2 linked regions of the Macaca mulatta genome follow. The main gene of each other region encodes a partner of the protein of the gene in region 2 in a complex. Links are inferred from orthologs where the notes say so. Each region holds a gene or a part of one and is shown on either strand. Other genes may lie near its edges.

Region 1 (3,500 bases), on a different chromosome or scaffold from region 2:
TTTATTTGTAAATGAACCCACCACATAGAGCTGTTGTGAGAAATAAATGAGATAATATAAGTAAAGCACTTAGCACAGTGTCTGGCAAATAGTAAGTGCTCAATAAATGGTGGCTGCTGCTGCTGCTGCTATTTTATCATTACTATTCTTTTCCCTACCCGCACAAATGCTGTTGGGATCCTCCATGGCCAAGAGGTTGTAGACGGAGGGTGCTGCCTATATCTGGGCAGGTGTGCTTGGCATGGACATTGGTCGGGATCTCTCCTTTGGGGAAAGGCCTAGTTCTTGATTTTATAAGCTTGGCTTTGGGGCAGGGATGTCTAACTGTGGAGAGGAGCAAGGCCTAGGTGAGCAATGTCGTGCCCAACATGCCCATCCTTCTAAGGTTTCAACTTGTTTAGCTGTGCTTATCTTTGTTTCAATGGAGTGGCATGAAGAGAAAAAAGGAGAGGAAACATCACAGGAGCACTGAGGCCTTGCTTACCCTGTGGATAACCAGTCTGGGGATGTACCATGGTATAGCAGAGAGATCGTGGATTCAGGTCCAACCCAGATCCACCATCTTATTAGCTGCATTAGTTATTTTGACAGTTTATTCAGCTTCTGTTCCTATGCTGCCTTTCCATCTTTTGTGACATGGGAATAATGATACCCACCTTGCAATATGGATATTAAAGACAGATATTATAGGCTTGCATTAATTCCTCTCGTACCCTTTCCTCCCCCAAGGAGTTACTGGCTTAAACCCTGACCTTAAGACTTGAGTAGTTTAGCCAGCTGCATTTTCACATTTCCCATCCTCTTACATCTTTAGATCCAATTTTTTTTTTCATTTGGTTCAAAATTAACATTTTTAGGCTGCTGAGGTTTATACCATGAAAAACCAGAGGTCAAACAACTCTAAGGGGTTGCATTGGGCTCAACCTGGTTGTGGGCTACTCCCTGGTTTGATGGGACTCTCAGCCGCAGAAGGCAGGAAATAGTGGCCACATTAACCATAGCTTACCCCAGTTCCTGTTCCCTTTCGCTGCTTTTATAAGAGGAGGGTGGGGGTATTGAGGCATAGGCTTGTTTCTCAGTCCATACCTGGAACGAAGAAGTCTAGGACCATAGGAAACGGGGTTCTGGGAGAGGGTTCTTTTGGAGGATTAGGACTGCAAGGCAAGAGGTGGAAAAGCAAATGAAATACCTCATGCTGAATCTGAGCTGCTTAACTTTACTGTCCTTTTCAAGCTTTTCTCTGAGGTGAGGTATTTGGCCATTTTATTCTGTCTTCCTGTATAAGGTTCAGAAATGAACCAGGGTCTGGATAGGATGCATGGGCTATAATCTGGGCTGCCTACTGACCCTGTCTTTCACTTCCATGTGCCTCTACTTAAGGTTGAACAAGATCTGTAGTGGTCTCTCCTTTCAGAGGAAAAACCAGTTTATGCAGCGGCTTCACAACTATTGGCTGTTGAAGCGGCAGGCACGGAATGGTGTCCCTCTTATCCGGCGCCTGCACTCCCATCTGCAGTCCCAAAGAAATGCTGAGCAGGTAGGTGCAGTGGTGATTTGAGACTGGTAGAGGGAGGTGGAGAGTGAAGGAAAAGGAATGGTGGTTGGGGTGGGGCTGGCATCCCTCCTTGATCCCTCCATGGAGCCTTTGCCTACCTGTCTGGGTGGCCCATCCCAGGAACAACCCCCAGCACTATAGAGATCGTCAAGCAGCTCCTTCTGAATGGATGAGGCTTGACTTTGTAGAGAATTCTAGGGGAGAGTGGAGAGCACGCCCAGCTTTCCATATATGTGGGGAAAATCCTCTAGATGTGGCAGAAAGCGAGAAGTAGGCTGAATGAGAGCCAGGGTGGCCACATTGTGTTAATTAGGAAAAGGCGCCCTTTCCTCAAGACATTATACTGCCATCTGCCAAAAAATGTTTCATAGTAAATACACAAATTTACGATCTAAGTTGTAGCACACAGCCTGTCCAATTGTGGTGGATGTTAGCCATTAGCAACTGGAGTTGCTGCATGTTTAATGTTTTTTGCTCCTAATTTCCCTTATTTGAACTATTTAGTTCTTTCTCCCCCCTTCACCTGTTCTATTCCTTCTGCCTTTAAGTGTTCCCACACTGCTGCTCCAGAGATGAAGCAAAGCTTTATGTGAGTCTGGTGCCTTCTGCATTCTGTCTGATCTCACTTTTGCCTTTTGTAACTAAACTCCTGAAGTATAAGCCTGTATCTGGCCCCCTTGAACCTTTTGGTCCACCTGCTTCACTGAAGCCTCCCCTAAAACATCAGCTACCTTGTCCCAGGAAGTCTTTCCTTATATTCTCACCTGATTGATCATTGGGCTGCATTTGACACCACAAATCACTTTGTCTAAGAGCTTCTCTGTGATACCATTTCCTGCTGCTTCTACCTCTCTGACCATACCCTATGCTGATCCCACTTCTTGCTCTTTAATGGTAACATTCCCAGTGGCTCTGTTATCTGCTTGTTTGCTTAGAGAACATGTCCACTCTCATAATTGACAATAACTGTATAATAGCAGCTCCAGACTTTTTGTCTTGTCCTCGTCCCTTTTTTCTGCCATCAGTCCCTCAGGGACGTTTCCATGTGGATGTGGTTAACTTGTAACTCAAATATTGGACGTTAATTATCTTTTTTCCTCTCAGTAAACTTATTTCCCCATCATTATGGCTCTCCCCTCCCTCCTGACTCATATCAAGAGTTCCCCACCTTGGAGTTACTTTTGACTCTTTACTCCCTAATGGGCCACTGTTAATCATCCCTTAAGCTGCTTTGGGGGCTTTCTCAACATGGTTTTTTGTCTTCATTCTGCAGCTCTCCTGCTCATCCATGCCCTCTTAATCTCAGCAATAGCTTTCTAGGTGATCTCTAGCCTCTAATTCTTTCTTTGCTCTACAACTGGTAGTTTCTTATTCACATGCTGTTGGGATCCTCCATGGCCAAGAGGTTGTAGAGGGAGGGTGCTGCCTACATCTGGGCAGGTGTGCTTGGCAGGGACATTGGTGGGGATCTGTCCTTTGGGGAAAGGCCTAGTTCTTGATTTTATAAGCTTGGCTTTGGGGCAGGAATGTCTGACTATGGAGAGGAGCAAGGCCTAGGTGAGCAATGTCCTGCTCTTCCATTCTCTTACTTCCTCTTCCAGAGTATACTCCTCTTTCTAGGCAGGTGAAGTTAAGGCTCTTTTGCCTTACATTTGAAGCTTCTTATTAGCTGTATCCTGGATCTTCCTTGACTTTTGTAGTTCTCCAGCATCTCTGTTCTGGTCAGCCTGTTTTGCTTACTAAGCAAAGAATCACTAATTCTGCCTCTACATTTCTACCCCTTTCATACCTTTGGTTCCAGGAGAGACCTTCCTTACTACTTTGTCCATCCATGTCTGTCACCTACCTATATGTAAAACTCTAGTAAGATTCTTCACCAGGAAGCTTCTCTGATCTAACCTCCACCTACTCAGATCTTCTATTTTGTATCCTCTTAGCATTTATA
Region 2 (3,500 bases):
ACCTTAAATGTCTGTGATGTGAGGAGTACTGAAGCCAGCAAGTACCACTTGGAAAATATATACTAGAAAAGCAAAGCTTAGTTTTTAAAATCTCCCGTCAAGCTGCTAGGATGTTCCCTCTCAAAGCATCTGCTTGAGTAAACAACTGTTTTATTTGGAAAACACTTGCCTGTGTAGTTGGAGCCCGAGAGGGATGTTAAACATCAAATGGAAGGTTAAGTACAAAGGCATTACAGAAGTCTCTACGTGTAAGATTCTCAGACACGTGTTCAGTACACGTCCACTGCATGTCGACTCAACCGTTTAATTTCTCATGAGCTCTTATGTGTTATGTTTGGAATTAATTTCAGAGGCCTTTTGTACTAAAGAAGAAAAGGGGTCGTAAACGCAGGAGGATCAACAGCAGTGTAACAACAGAGACCATTTCAGAGACGACAGAAGTACTGAATGAGCCCTTCGACAACTCAGATGAAGAGAGGCCAATGCCACAGCTGGAGCCTACCTGCGAGATTGAAGTGGAGGAAGATGGCAGGAAGCCAGTCTTGAGAAAAGCATTCCAACATCAGCCTGGGAAGAAAAGACAAACAGAGGAAGAGGAAGGAAAAGACAATCATTGCTTTAAGAATGCTGACCCTTGTAGAAGTAAGTAGAGGAATGATAAAAACCTTACCCTTGAGAATGTCTGTATCTGACTGGGTGCCAAAGAGCAGGCCTCTGGCGTGATGCCCAGAGGTACCTGGGAAGTGGTGCTGATGCACCTGGAGCAAGTGCCCATCTGCCCTTTCCCATCCTTACAAGCTTCTGTCCCTTCTTCCTGGAATTGGATTTTATGTTAAACAACTTCTAAGGCCAGAACATTCTTCTAGGTGGGTTCATCTTACTTACCAGAAATTGGCTTATCCCCCAAAACTTTTAAGTCTGTTGGTAAGAAACACATTACATTTCTTTGATTCTAATATGTACTTTTTTTCCCACATTTAGTATTTCTGAAATCAAGGTATATATTATTATCAATGTGAGCATTGAATGGAATCGTTTTTTTTCCTGGAAAACAAATATTAGTGAATCAATAGTACATCTTATAATCAGCGGTGTCTTAGTATATACTACTATAAAGATTCATCTAAACTAAGCTGAGCATGATGGCTCACACCTGTAATCCCAGCACTTTGGGAGGCTGAGGCAGGTGGATCACCTGAGCCCAGGAGTTTGAGACTAACCTAGGCAACATGGCAAAGCCCCATCTCTACAAGAAATAGAAAAATTAATCAGGTGTAGTGGTGTGCACCTGTAGTCTCAGCACTTTTGGAGGCTGAGGCAGGTGGATCACTTGAGCCCAGGAGTTTGAGACCAGCCTGAGCAACATGACAAAACCCCATCTCTACAAAAGATACAAAAAGTAGTCAGGAGTGGTGATGTGTGCCTATAGTCCCAGCTACTTGGGAGGCTGAGATGGGAGGATCACGTGAGCTCAGGATGAGCCATGATCATGCCATTGCACTCCAGCCTGAGTGACAAAATGAGACCCTTTCTCAAAAAAAAAAAAAAAAAAAAAAAAAATCATCTAAATTTACCCACACATCAAGATTAGCTTTGATAATATTGTATAATATAGAAATCAGTAAACTGATATAAGTTGACAGGGACAACCTTCCTTTTTAAGTTGACAGGGACACCTGTACCCCATCCTCTAAAAAATATACTGAACACCAGTGAATCGTCTTTCCTGCTGTATTTAAAACACCTATCCTGCCGGGCGCGGTGGCTCAAGCCTGTAATCCCAGCACTTTGGGAGGCCGAGACGGGCGGATCACAAGGTCAGGAGATCGAGACCATCCTGGCTAACATGGTGAAACCCCGTCTCTACTAAAAAAATACAAAAAACTAGCCGGGCGAGGTGGTGGACGCCTGTAGTCCCAGCTACTCGGGAGGCTGAGGCAGGAGAATGGCGTGAACCCGGGAGGTGGAGCTTGCAGTGAGCCGAGATCCAGCCACTGCACTCCAGCTTGGGTGACAGAGCAAGACTCCGTCTCAAAAAAAAATAAAAATAAAAATAAAAAAATAAAACACCTATCCTTGCTGTCAGGTTGAGAACGTGTGCTCCCAGCTGACTCATGAGGGTTTATGGCATACTGTCTCTATTCTCTGGCCGAGATGACTCTGTTCAGAACTTACTCTAATCTGGGGAACAGGCAATCTCATTTTCCTGGGAACCACAGGATCACTCTAGCTTTTGAAAAGCCACAGTTTTAAGAACAAGCATCTTCTTGACGTTCTTAGTTCACAGAAATGCTATTCCTGCATACATATTTTTGCTGAAGGAATGACTTCTTACTCTGGGTATAGAGAAACCAAGCCTTATTCTTTGGGGTTTTTTTTTTTTTTTTCTTTAAACAAATCAACATACAAACCACAACAAACTGCGATGAGCAATCATTTTGTGTGTGAGAATGAGCTTTGTTTCCCCTTCTTGGCTGTCTTCTCGTATTATGCCTGACTCCTTTCAGGATGTCCTTCTTTCTTAAGAATAATTGTCAGAAAACTCATCTTCTGATTTTGGAAGTTGTTCCAACAAAAGCTGGTAGGTCCAGTAGCATGTAGAATAAGAATACGGAATCCAGCCAGGCATGGTGGCTCATGCCTGTAATCCCAGCACTTTGGGTGGCTGAGGCAGGCAAATCACCTAAAGTCAGGAGTTCAAGACCAGCCTGGCCAACATGGTGAAACCCCATCTCTACTAAAAGGACAAAAAAATTAGCCAGGCGTGGTGATGCATGCCTGTAGTCCCAGCTACTTGGGAGGCTGAGGCAGGGGAATCGCTTGAACCTGGGAGACAGAGGTTGCAGTGAACCGAGATCATGCCACTGCACTCCAGCCTGGGTGACAGAGCAAGACTCCGTCTCAAAAATAAAAAGAATGTGGAATCCGGGGGCACTGGCATGGCTATTACCTGCCATTGTGAATAGAAATGTCCTGAGATGACTCTTAACTCGGGCATGGTACTGGGCACTTCTCAAGGAACCATTCTGCATCATATATGTGTTCTTTTCAGCTGGTCAGTTTGAAAGTAATACTTGCAGGTAAGTTTTTCTATAATCCTTTTATTACCTAAATCAGCCAGTGCTTACTCTGCTGTTCACCGGTTGGACTAGAACTCACTCTCTTCTGGCAGAAGGGATATCTGTTTTATGATGATTGTGACATCTTATTTTTATTCTCCAGAGTTTCTAATAAAACTATTGTTCTATATAAAGCTTTTCCTTTAAATTGACCACTGATTCTAGAAGATTAGTGTAATCTAAAGATCGTAAGAATACTTGGGTGCTTTATACATATATTTATTTATATATTTATTAATATGTATGTAGTTATCCATCTGCTTATATAAATATGTACATGTTTACATCTATATTCACATGTGCATATAGGTTCAGTAAAAATAAGGTCACCTGAACTGAAATGAACTTCACAATTATGGTTTGTTTCTGATTGTCTTTAAT

Evidence for each region. Proteins that work in one complex are often made in the same cells at the same time.
Region 1: KAT6B (region 2) and BRPF3 share a complex: the UniProt entries of both Homo sapiens proteins name them as parts of the MOZ/MORF complex. The link is inferred for Macaca mulatta from reciprocal best matches to the Homo sapiens genes KAT6B and BRPF3.

Annotation. Positions count from the first base shown.
Region 1 is NC_133409.1:146,049,677-146,053,176, reverse strand, and holds part of BRPF3 (bromodomain and PHD finger-containing protein 3), read left to right. Parts: intron 1-1,380; coding exon 1,381-1,537; intron 1,538-3,500. UniProt on the Homo sapiens protein: Scaffold subunit of various histone acetyltransferase (HAT) complexes, such as the MOZ/MORF and HBO1 complexes, which have a histone H3 acetyltransferase activity.
Region 2 is NC_133414.1:74,586,995-74,590,494, reverse strand, and holds part of KAT6B (histone acetyltransferase KAT6B), read left to right. Parts: intron 1-350; coding exon 351-642; intron 643-3,500. UniProt on the Homo sapiens protein: Histone acetyltransferase which may be involved in both positive and negative regulation of transcription. Required for RUNX2-dependent transcriptional activation. May be involved in cerebral cortex development.